Linked DNA regions of Neodiprion lecontei. The protein of the gene in region 1 purifies or fractionates together with the protein of each later gene. This does not show direct contact. Links are inferred from orthologs where the notes say so. Each region holds a gene or a part of one and is shown on either strand. Other genes may lie near its edges.

The links. Proteins that work in one complex are often made in the same cells at the same time.
Region 2: the proteins of NCK-interacting protein with SH3 domain (region 1) and gem-associated protein 2 purify together in Homo sapiens (co-immunoprecipitation; 3 studies listed by BioGRID and IntAct, counting the BioPlex papers as one, with this or other methods). This does not show direct contact. The link is inferred for Neodiprion lecontei from reciprocal best matches to the Homo sapiens genes NCKIPSD and GEMIN2.

Annotation. Positions count from the first base shown.
Region 1 is NC_060261.1:38,346,723-38,354,972, reverse strand, and holds NCK-interacting protein with SH3 domain, read left to right. Parts: upstream 1-1,856; 5' UTR 1,857-2,128; coding exon 2,129-2,156; exon of another isoform or gene 2,157-2,257; intron 2,258-2,375; coding exon 2,376-2,560; intron 2,561-2,651; coding exon 2,652-3,509; intron 3,510-3,902; coding exon 3,903-4,105; intron 4,106-4,365; coding exon 4,366-4,469; intron 4,470-4,547; coding exon 4,548-4,766; intron 4,767-4,889; coding exon 4,890-5,062; intron 5,063-5,101; coding exon of another isoform or gene 5,102-5,109; exon of another isoform or gene 5,110-5,169; coding exon 5,170-5,270; intron 5,271-5,436; coding exon 5,437-5,527; 3' UTR 5,528-7,094; downstream 7,095-8,250. Other genes in the region: U3 small nucleolar RNA-associated protein 18 homolog, read right to left, coding at 1-68, 143-334, 442-627, 743-920, 1,004-1,300, 1,390-1,583; glutamyl-tRNA(Gln) amidotransferase subunit A, mitochondrial, read left to right, coding at 7,550-8,250. UniProt on the Homo sapiens protein: Has an important role in stress fiber formation induced by active diaphanous protein homolog 1 (DRF1). Induces microspike formation, in vivo. In vitro, stimulates N-WASP-induced ARP2/3 complex activation in the absence of CDC42.
Region 2 is NC_060263.1:39,236,162-39,240,557, reverse strand, and holds gem-associated protein 2, read left to right. Parts: upstream 1-2,296; 5' UTR 2,297-2,444; coding exon 2,445-2,551; intron 2,552-2,628; coding exon 2,629-2,713; intron 2,714-2,792; coding exon 2,793-2,951; intron 2,952-3,013; coding exon 3,014-3,280; intron 3,281-3,361; coding exon 3,362-3,454; 3' UTR 3,455-3,546; downstream 3,547-4,396. Other genes in the region: probable cyclin-dependent serine/threonine-protein kinase DDB_G0292550, read left to right, coding at 1-1,069, 1,163-1,466; ubiquitin-like protein 4A, read right to left, coding at 4,040-4,329. UniProt on the Homo sapiens protein: The SMN complex catalyzes the assembly of small nuclear ribonucleoproteins (snRNPs), the building blocks of the spliceosome, and thereby plays an important role in the splicing of cellular pre-mRNAs.

The DNA of each region.
Region 1 (8,250 bases):
AGGATGTATATATTACCCATTCTTCCACATACGGCGATGAATTTCTCATCGGGAGATACTTCGAAGTTCTGTAATCAACGTTACCAGGATAGCATTAGATGTCGCCGTAGACCTAGCAAACTTGCAATTGTCTTCTGCGTACCTTCATATTAGTCATGCCATGTGGTAGTGGTACTCTGTACGTTTTTCCAGCCAATAAATCATAGGTGTGACAATGAGCATGGCGTTGTGAGCCTACCACTATTTCTGATCCCTCTTTTGCGAACCTGGCCGTATTTATTGGAAATCTTCGGTACTGCATACTATGCAGTTTTGTATTCTGTTTACCATCAATCTGACGAAATAGAAGATGAAATTATTGCGAGTTTTTCATTATTACTCTGGTTGCAAATATTGAGATTCCCTGTAATTTTTTTAAAAAGTGGATCACTCTTGACTCACTTGAAATATCGACAATATCCCAGATAATCCAGCGACTAATGCCACTGTAGAGGTTGGATGGAATTGAAGACTTGTTATTACAGGCCCCTCGGATCGAGTTTCTTGGTTTATATTTTTTAGAGCTTTCAACTCGATTGTTCCTTGTGCTAAATTCTTAGGTTTTGGTGTTATCAAATGACTGCTGTGCTGTAGAGATAATAGCAGGGAAACATCAATACTAAAACTAATTGAAAAACTAAATATTTCATAATTTAATTAATCATCGATGGTTATAATATGATTGATGAGATTTAAATAGTACCCGCAATATTTCGTCGTCTGAATCCTCTTCGGAGCCAGTTTCCTTTTTTGCACTAATTTCAGCCCACTTAGGAGTGCCAACAAGTTGTTGGTACTTGTTTCGTAGCAGTTCTTTGTAGTGTTTTTCAGGCCGCTGCACAGCCAGTCTTCGCCCTTGCAGACGCAAGGTTTCTTCAACGCTGTTGAGTAAATGAATCAACATATATTCAACACAAATTTTATTCTGTTTTCAACACTAGATGTATTATCGTCTGTTGCTTACGAAAGGTTTTCTTCTTCGTCATCATCTACCCATGCCGCTTGTTTTTCAGTCTTCAATTCTTCATCTTCGACTCCCGAATCAGCATCTGTATCTTGCTCTGTATCTTCTGAACCCGATCTATCTAAATCAGAGTCATCGGTTTTTTCATCATTGTCTTCATTGTCATCAGAATCGTCCACCTCATCATTAGGGGTCGAAACCTTGGACAAAGGTGTCTGTGATTTAGAATCATTGTGCTCATCTTGTAGAAGGTTGCTAATGACGTCGATATGGTCACCGAATACGAGCCTTTCGAGTCTGGAAATTATTGAGATGTGATTGAATTTGAAATACAAGGGATGAAGAATTGTTTCGTAGGTGAAAGATCATGGTTCAAGTTCATTTACCTGGCTTCTTCTACCGGGTCGTAATGATTTCTGCGTTTCTTTCTCAGAGGAGTGGTAAACTTCTTGTTGTATTTAACCTCTCCAAGTTCAGGTTCTGACGTTTTTCTTTTTCTCAGTGTTTCCTCTAATTCTTCTGCTTCTATCTCATCCTCAGATGGTTCGAGGCTTGACACACGGTCTACCGTTGCAGCCATTACTCCAAAATTCTGTATAGATTATTACTTTTCTGTATAATATGTATGCACGTAAGCTCAACAGCTCTTACATGTTATTGGATACCGCGTGGCGCGTATTTGGAGTCCATTGACTAATTCGTTGACTGAAGAAACGCTATTCGCTTCGTTTCGCACCGTAGGGTTTCACTTCATGCGTCGATTCAACATGGCATATCACGTTGTAGTTCATTGCACAGTATTGAGGCAGAGTTTCATTTCTTTCCATCGACTTTTTCCGTGGTAAGGTACATAAATCAGTGCAACTGTGCAAGTTCGTTGTTACCGCTGCGAGTTTGTCGGTGGGCGCCTGAGTGGGTTGTGTTTCGTAAACAAACAGGTTATGTGTTTCTTGTTGAAAAAAAGAATGATAACTGGAGCAGAGTAAACGAAAGTGAAAAGCAATCACCATCTGTTCTCACATTTTCGTCGACCAGTCTGTATTTTATACCTGCATCTATTTTTTTCTATTGCTTAAGGAATTCAACCGAATTCGTTTTAATTCGTGATTTATATTTTGTGTTTAAATGATGGGTGACAACTACATCAGGTTAGGTAAGATCGCATCCCTTAACTAGCCAGTCCTTCAACCAAACAACGAGACGTACACGAATCTGTTTACATATCTATCTGAAATTATCACGCTCGATTACGCGGTTGGTTTTCACGTTTTTGCTAGTTAGTCAATGGCAAATGCTCTACTAGTTGAAACTTATGATTCCAAATATTCAAGACTGTGGCTTGTACTAATAACCTTCTTTCTTTTGTACACAGAAAACTATGAGATGCTAAAAGCACTGTACGAATTCAAGGCAACCTTTGCTAAAACTCTAAGCTTTCGAGAAAACGAACATTTTATACTGTATCAAACAAATACAAAACAGAGAAATTGGTGGCAGGTTGTGAACAGCTTGGGGCAGCTTGGCTATATACCATCTAACTATGTTACTACGGTCAAGGTATTTCCTTTTCTGATACTGGAAGTCTTCTGAATATTCATACATTTCTCTATTTTGTTTTACAGTCATTAATACTCGATTCTCTCTGCAGGTCGAGCCTCAATTTTTGATTGATTACCTGAGGAAATGCATAGAGAAATTGCAAACCGAAATTCAACAGCAAGGCAGCTCCGTTCAAGCTGATAAGCAGGATCTTCTAATGAGGCTTGTGGAAAAGGAGAGACAAGCAGAGCTTGGCAGAAAAGTAAAAAAGCAAGCACCTATGCCTCCAGTTTTTTCGACTTCCACCTTAGGAAGAGATACAACTAATCAAACAGTCTATACTAATCCGGATGGCGATGCTCGATCTGCTCCTAGCAATACGTCCTATGCCACTGCTCAATCTACACTTCATTACGATGCCGATCCTGCAGACGCCCAACTAATTGCACAATGCAGGCGGACGACTGTAAACGATCAGCGCAGACAGCTACCTAGACAATCTATATCTGATACAATTCACACTAGCCAATCTGAACCAATTCAAATGAAAAGAAGTCCTTCTCAAAGTGCATTGAACACTGTAGGAAATTCCTCACCAATAAAAAGCAGCTCCTCAACTTCATGTGAGATTAATTCAAAAGCTGCTTATCAGCTACTCGATCAAGTGAGACGAAATACACAACTTAGTCACGAAATGTCGAAAGTTGCAGTTGCTGTGGTTGTTTCTGGTCTGCAGGAACTTTTACCAGCTAGTATAAGTCATTATTTTGCTGCAGTGTTGAACCAGCTTCAAGTGCCATTGATTGCTTCAAAAATGAGTATTGAAGAAACACACGATGCCAATAGGCTCAAAGTTATTTTTACAGAGCTTACTTCTTGCAAGGAGGATTCTCAGCAGAGAAGTTGGATGTTGTATGAAGATGAACCTATTATTGTCGAATACATCAAAGAGCTCACATCCATTCTGGTAAATTTAATTATCTTGTTACATCTTTGTTCAATATTGATAGTAAACAACATACCTTAAAAATATCTACAAATGTTCATTAAGAGAACAGAGAAAGATTACAGGGAGCATAGTTCTCTCAGTATTTTTGAAGAACCTTTCAACCAACCAATGAAGGTCACAAAAGTTTGAAAAATTTTCAAATCATCCAATCACCAGACATCATAATTAGAGTAATATTTCTGATTTGACCCACTTCTCTTCCTTAATACCTGAAATATACTTATAACTAGAGTAATGGCATAAAAATGTGTTGTGATACACGTCAGAATATCGGAATTTATGTTTATAAATCGTTCTTACTATACATCCTCGTTGTTAGCCACGTAAATCATATCATTGAACACTGTTTAGACAAATGCAGATGCAAATGTTTCACGACATGCATTAAGATCGGACCAATATAATGGCGTAACGACATTAATACAATACTACCAAATGGAACCCAGATGGACTATTAGGCAACTGCTTCTGCAATCATTTGGTGTTATGTGCAGTTTGGATGCAGTAGTTCTCACCATCATGTTGAACAGTGTTCTGCCAATGGAATTAGCAAGGTATGACAAGAAAAATTGTCCTCCTACTGTAATGCAGTATTAAAGTTGAAATTTTGCTGAACTCCATTCTATTTAACAATGTATTCATGCAGTCTAATGCCGAAATGTGATATTAACGATTCCGTGTCAATCGTTTTTAAATTAGTATCAACCTGCTTTTGTCGATACACATTTTCATTTTATTGTGCTTTCCATTAAACACGTACTTGCTAACAGGCATAATAGAATCACCCGATTTATATAGTGTATTTTTCAAACAGTGACATGAGAACGTACCCAAGGAATGTGCCAAGGCTGAATTATTCTTCGCTGTTGCTTACTATGATCTTCTCAATGGGTGAACCAATGCCCGTCACTCATTTGGGTAAGAATACTCCACGTTGTGTGTTCATTTCCACTGAGTTTCAGTATCTGCGATGTCTTTATAATTGTCTGATTACAGAGCAGCTGGGAACAGATTTTATATCATTCCTTTTAGAATTGATAGAAAATCCTCCTGATACCGATATGGATGATCAAATACCGGATTTATTTTTGAATTTGGTTCTGTCCTATAATTTGCAATTCACCACTTCGGAAAACATGGTATTAAATGCATTAAAACTGCGAACTGTGGCAAAAACATTCACAGAAAAAATTCTACTGCTTCTTAATAGAGAAGGTGAGATTTTGATGCTTCACACCAAATTGAACCTACTGTAGCAACCGTATTTTATCCATTGTTTGTTCTTCTTTGGAGAAGAAAAACTTCCGTCTTATCTTCTTGCATTCACCATTATTCTAGAGGATCCGGTACGAATATTTGATCATCAACCTGCTCCTCCACATTCTGTACTCAAATTATTTGTTGATCTCTTCAGTAATGATGTTACTGCAAACTTATTTTACACCAACGATATTAAAGTCTTGATTGACATTATTGTACGGCAGTTGTTTGATATCTCACCAGGAGTGAAGGTAATTTAAATACATATAAATATTATGAAACAATTCCAGGTGTATGAAAAAATAAAAAATTATGTAGTAGTATATTGTAACCTGATGTGGAACATGTCGTTGCACAGAAACGCAGACAGTATTTGGAGCTGTGTCGGAGAGTGTTGAGAACTGAAAGCTACAATGAACATCGTCACAGGTGTGAAGACGTGTTGAAATGTTTCACAAGGTTTGTATTGAACTACAGTTCGTTCCGTACTTTAAATTAGGCTCGTTTCGCTATGATTTCTTTCGTATTATGCTTGGAAAATGTTGATCAGGGGTAGTAGGCAAATTTTTTTACGAAGTACCAACAATGTTCCAAAAACAAATGCATTTATTATTCAATCTTACAGGATATTTTGCGAAGAATTGCCTGAGAGTAAATCTGATCAAAAATTGGTGCGTGAAATCAGTAACGAATTTCCACATCTATTCAAGATGTGACATATGTTGCCACCCTCTGCTACTTCTGACGAAGATGAAGAGGATCTACACACATTAGTTTAGAGGAATATGTTTTATCGATGAAGAGGAATCTTCCAAGCCACAAACATTTACTACCAGATATGTTGAGCGATAAAACGTATCACGGAAAACCGTAACAGTGGCAAGTATCATGAGATATCGATCTCAATTTCATGTAATATAGTTTTGGCTGGTAGTCTGACGTCTTTAGTCATATCCGTGAAGATATGGCGAAAATTATGATATCCTGCAATTTTATGTGAGAAAGTTGAAAGAGAAAATTGAGCTAAAACTTGAATAGTGCATATCTGATGTTTGCAGGTGAAAATATCGTGATTTACTTGTATGTTAAAGATCGAAATCGTGTTAAATGTGAAAAAAATAGCAAAGGTTTAAAATTAAACCATTTAGATGGACCGCTTCTGTTCATTTGAGGTATGTCGGAAGGCGTAGGAAACGGATGACAGCTGGGGTTCAATATGACAACTTCTTATTTGAATAATCATTCAAACAAATTACTATTGCTAGTATGAATATTGGAGGGATTATTGATTCATACATATATAACAACCGAATTTATCTAGGGTTAGTATTTTTCGAATACAGCTTGAAATGATCATCAAGATATAATACTGAGTTTTAAGTCAGCTTTACATTATTGAGCACAAAATATGTATATTGTCCGCTAAACTTAACATTGGCACAGTTACCGTTGATCTGCGCGAATTATATTTTATGAGATTATTTTATGAACACGGGAGATAGTCAAGCTCGTTGAACTATAACCGACTGTAGAAAACAATGATGCGTTTATTTAGAGGAGATATTGTGGCGATTCTTTTATGACTTTCAGTCTAGTCTTTTACATTGTGTACACTATTGAATAATACGTTCTAAGTCGTAAAATAGTAGCAGTTTTCCGAACTTCATGTTATAACGAATGTCATATAGCTAGTAATGTGAAAGCAATTCGTAAATTGACTAGTACATGGATGAATTAAATCTATCTTAGGAAAAATTTACATTTCAAGATAGATTCGCGATATAGTAATAGCAGCTCGGTTCGTGATTTCGTATCGGAATATCCATGGTAGTAACATAAAAAGTCGAGAACTGAGGAACGCGAACACTTTAGGTTTGATTTAACGTATAGGAGTAATTTTTGAATTTGACATATGCGAGTGATAACATTTTCCGTATGTTCAAGGAATACTTTTTCTAATCTAGAACTCTTCAAGCAGCTGATGAATTTAACGTAAAACCGGCGCAATATCTGCGTTCACTTTCGATGGGTATGTTTTCGATAATACTATAAATGTATAAGCATATTGAAGAAAAATTCCGTGCCCTTAGAAATTTGTTTCATATTGTTCGAGGAAGAGATTCGTGTATATTATTGTATAGAAAGTTCGTATTAGACATAGATTTAGATATGTATTCTGAAATATCGCAAGGCAATCGCGCAAAAGCGCCGGTCGCTTCAAACGGTAACAGCTTTGCATGTAATACATGTATGAATTAAAGTTTATCTATTGTTACATCTAAAGTATCACCGTCAAATTCTCGTATAGACTCATTGTCAGTAGACCGGAACCAAATACTTTATTGTTTACGCTGAAATTCTTTTCCATGACATGTGAGCTAGTGTTCGATATAGTCGAGATTGGTCTATTTGTCGAAAATATTCACGCTTTCCATGACTAAAGGTAGACAAATAAATAAATCGAATTCTAATTCTACATTCAACGTTCTTCGTTTTCCTACTACACATCATTGATCCAACGTAGTTTTCTCACTTTGAATTTCGCGCGTGTAACGCGTGCCTCGTACGCCTAATTTTAGATTACCCGTGTAGCAATCATACGCGTGATTTAAAAAATTCATGAATCGAATATCGAATTGTTGAAAGCGTGGTTAATCACGAGATGCCGGGGTTGTTTAAAAGTTGAGGTTATGTAATACACAATCTTAATCCTGACAAGTAACAAACAAACTGAGACAATGAATAAGATACTGTCACGACCGATAAAACAAGTGAGTAACAAACTGAATGCCGGCGAATTGAAGCCATCCGAGATTTGCAGAGCCGCGGTGAAGCTGGCAAATGCGTCAAAGCCGCTAAACGCGTATATTTGTGTGACCGGAGGATCGGCAGAGTTGCAGGCACAGGAATCAGATGCTAGATACGCCGAAAGTCAGCCTCTAGGAACCCTCGATGGAATTCCAATAGCGATCAAGGATAACTTTTGTACAAGTGGCACAGCAACGACCTGCGCATCTTTGATGCTGGCTAATTTTGTTCCTGAATATGACGCTACGGTATATAGCCGTTTAAAGAATGTTGGAGCAGTTTTGATCGGTAAGACTAATCTCGATCAGTTCGCCATGGGCTCAGGGACAATAGACTCGTATTTTGGGCCGACAAAAAATTTGTGGAAATCGACCTTTATGAACAATTACTTTTGTCACCCTTCCTCCGAGTCAGAAACAAGCAACAAGGAAACCAGCGATGTTCCAGACAATTGGCACATCGCTGGGGGGAGTAGCGGAGGTTCAGCCATCGCCGTTGCCACAGGGTCCTGTTACGCCGCTCTAGGTTCAGACACTGGAGGCTCGACTCGAAATCCAGCATCCTACTGTGGGCTTGTTGGCCTCAAACCAACCTATGGCTTGGTGTCTCGTCACGGTTTGATTCCACTTGT
Region 2 (4,396 bases), on another chromosome or scaffold:
AGACCAACAATTACCCCCGGAATAACCAGAACAGAAACTACAACACACCGTCTTCGACCTTCAGACCTGCGACGACCAACGCGTTCCAAGGCAGCAATTACAACCACAACAACAACAACAACAACAACAACAACAACAACAACAACAACAACAACAACCAGCAAACTGCGGGGGGCTTCGGTAACTTCGACAGCTCGAAATTCGGAGCGACCAATCAACAGACCACGAACTACGGAAGCACAGTCTTCGACCGAACTCCTGCGGTCACGACGACTGTGAGGTCGACGGACTTCACGGCGAACGTTGCCACCAAGATTAAGAAGCCCACCGACCAGAGCAGCCCGACTTTTACCAATCAGTTCAACCAATTCTCAACACAACCGACGACCCTAAGACCCAGCACGAGCTTCCAGACGACCGACTACACCGGTTACTATCAGAAAAACTACAACACCATTCAGAGAACAGCGAACACCGGCGGTACCACGTTCCAGACTTCGACTTTCGCGTCAACCTCCTACGACGACTACTCGGTCACCCCGAGAACCAGCGAGCCCCAGATTGCGAACAAAGTTCAGACCACCAGACAGCAAGATTTTACTCAAACCACTCAGAGATTCGCAAACAGCTTTGCGGGTAGCAGCTACATCCCGACGACCTACAGTCCGGTTACCAAGAAACAAGCGACCATCGGTAATGGCAACACCCAAAGCCAGGTGATCAATCGAGGGAACGATCAGTACACCGGGCAGTACGAGAGCGCCAGAACAACGAACAGCGGCCAGTACCGCGAAAGGAACACTCAGCAGACCGAGCAGACCTACGACACCTCGAGGTCCAACGATAACAGCGGACAGTACAATCGCGAGGTGGCTACGAAAGCCCCGAAGAAGGTTGCTACGCAGTACAACAACTATGAATCTAAGACGAATTTCGACGGAAGCACCAAGAGCTTCGACAACTTCGACCAGGGCGGAAGAACGGCTTCCGTCAACGGATTCAGTCCCGCTAGTGTCAACAAGCTCGCAGAGAGTCCCGTCACCGTGAGAGCGACGACTCCCGTTCCGAGGTAGGTGATTTTTCTCATTGAAAGTGCTTGGATTGAAGGAATAGGTGTTTATATGTTTATCACTAATGTCTAACTTGTGATGATCTGTTATAGAAGGACTGTCTACAATAACCCAACAACTCAGAGGCCGTCGTCGGCTGCAGCGACCAATTACGCGTCGCAAACGACGCCGAATTCAAGAACTGGAAATTTCGTCAGTGCGACACCAAGGCCGTTCACATCCACGACAAGGACTGTCGATCGGCGTCAAGAATCTACCACGGTAAAATCGAAGTCGGAAAAGAAGAACGACTACGATTACGCTTACTACGACAATGCTGGAGCTTTGGAATACGACGGTATTGATCTGGAACAAGTTGGCGGCTCAAGAGACACCGCGAAAGTAACAAGAAATTGAAATTCATTATACGGGTTATATTATACTTGCGGGAAAAAATAGTTAGACGCAGATTTTTCAATCCATGATATACAGTCTTATTCGATCTATTCGTACGTATGGAGATTCATACGTATGTATTTGAGATTGCCAATTGCCAAACTGAGCGATTTTTATGATAAATATTTTTTGTCCAGATATCATATCTGTCGATTAATACAATACAATACGCAATCAATGATCTGCTGTACTTACAATTAAGATATTTTTGTTATGTATGTACGTCTAGTACGCTACGTACGATAAATATGTTATATGTATTATGTCGATCCACCTAAAATTAATTTGAATTTCAAGAATATTATTAAATATGGTTTTTTTATCAGTATTTTTAGCTTAGTATACGCCTGCGCCGATCGAACTGTGTCCCGACAAACATACAATAACAAATTTTTCACACACATTCTTTTGTAAATAGGTCGCTACTACGGCTACCGAGTGTACATATTTTATGTATTTTAATAAAAAAGAAAAACAAAAAAAAAAAATAACAGTAGGTATAGAGATCCATATGCTCACCAAAAGTTGTAAGGTTCAGATCACCCGGTGATGTCTACATTCGTAGAGTAATGAATAAATCGTGACGATAAGAAGAATCATTCATCGTGGTGGAAAGAATGTATCATGATCATTTACGACTAATAAACTTTGATTACCGTTTTATATAGGTAGACAGTTTTAAATTTCCCGGGGTTTCCGTCACGCGTTTGTCCAATTTTGCCGCCACTACGATTGTACCCGTTGCCATGGCAACAAGAGCTTGCAAAATGATATCGAGTTTCTGGTCTTCCTGCATGTGACCACCGATAATACGTCGAAGGATGACGGAATTCACGTTATTCAAACGTAATTTAACCTAGGAAAAACATGTCAACAATGCGAAATTCTTAGCACGCGTTGCGACGAAATTTTTTTTAACCATATACCTCGCCTCGAAAGATGGGGGATATTTTGAGAGAGCCTGCTTTATTTGTGGGCGAAATTGACGCGGAATTCGACCTTATGCTACCTCCATCCTCAGGAGAGGAATACATCAAGCGTGTGGTGTCGGTATTCCTGTCCCATCTTTCAATACGCTAATTTTCCCTCTAAACAATTCACTGCAATTGCAAAATATTTCTAGAATTGAGGCGCAGCAGTGCGACGACGTGGTTGTGGCAGAGAATATAAAAGCTCGTATTAGGACTCCCATGGTGGCGGTAAAGCCTGTAAGTCAATGAAACAAAACAAGCAGGCAAAAGCAATCATTTGTACGATGTGTGAAATGAGTAATAAACAATTGCTCAGCTAGCAGGATGTGTCGAGGCTCCAGCTTCGATGGTTCCGACTCTGGACTGGCAGCAGTGTCAACTAGCAGACTTTTCTTCTGTGAGACTAGAGATCGACCGGATTAAACACAATTTACAAAATGCTGAGGGTCGCCGCAGGCTTCGACAAACTGTTCTGGTAAGATTTAATTTCTGATCACATCTGATTTCAGAATACACTTATCCTTGTGCAAATTACAGCCTGACGCAGATGATCAGGTTGGCTGGCTGGAGTACATCTGCAACATGAGACCGTTGCTTGGACTAGTATTAAACATGAACCAGCCGCTGATCGAACAAGTCTTGGAACATCTCGTCGAAGCAGTAGAAGAAAAGGGCCTGATCTCGCAACCATACGGAGGCTGGATTTATGCCCTACTAGCTACCCTCGAGTTACCTTTAAATCCAGACACGTGTTCCTGCTTACGCTCGCTTGCTAGAACATGTTCGATAATCAGAGCTAGCATGGTAAAATACATTTTGAAAACAGAGTGGCAAATGTTTCGAGAGGTAAATTTTTTATGGATAATATTTGTAATTTATTTTTAGACAGAGGAGAACGCTAAAGATGTCACAGCTTTGAATTTATTTATCTGCCTGGTCGCCAGATATTTCAGACAAATGGATTTGGTGGACTTGTAATTTGTGATTAAAGAACGACATAATTGTGAAATTGGGGATCAATGAAATTTGTAACTACTGATTGAAATAAATATAGATTAATTTTAACGTAACAAGTTTTGTTTTATTATTATCATTATCTTGCACTTAGTTAACAGCTAAACATGATGGATGAATGTCAATTCAAGCGAGCGATCATTGAAGAGGCTACATTACATCTCTTGAATATTAGAAATTACATATGCTTAAAATATTCCTTAGGTCAACTCAATGAATTATTCACGAATGGAATTTCGTTGAACATTGCTGTTAAATATTGTGCAAATCAATCGTCTCAGCCACTTGTGGGTTTGCCATTTTGTGAAATGAGAGGGAAATTAATGCGTAAAACGGACGAATGTATAGAAAATTTGTTGTAAATAATTAATTAAAAAAGAGTGCAAAGAATTAATTTGTAAAAGTGAGCAGTACAAGAAAACATCATTCACTTTTCAAAAAGCACGGAAAACCTTACAATTAAAAATTTTCTAGATGCAGAGTTTTATTAAAAATTAACAAACGAATGATTGAAGGTATTCTGCAGAAAAAAATCCAAGGAAAATTTCTTCAAGTGGTACTTTCTTGATCCTGAAGCAGAGCCGTTGCTAATCTTTCCAAGTCGTCATAGCTCAAGCCGTCTACTTTCTTTTTTAAGTCTTTCATAAACTCATTAATTATCGACTGTGTTTCAGATTCTGTATAATAATGCCTCAAGACTCTTGACATCTCGCTTCTGAATAATTGGATGCCAGTATCACCTTGAGCACTCTTACCCTCACTTTGAATTTGCTTCTTTACAAATAAATTTAACTTGCAACCGTCTTTTATCGTTGGATAAAAACTCAGAAGCTGGTCGTCTGAAACGACGAAATTTTTTAGGATCAACTTTAAAGATATTTTGAACCAAATTTGAAGCAATTTCTC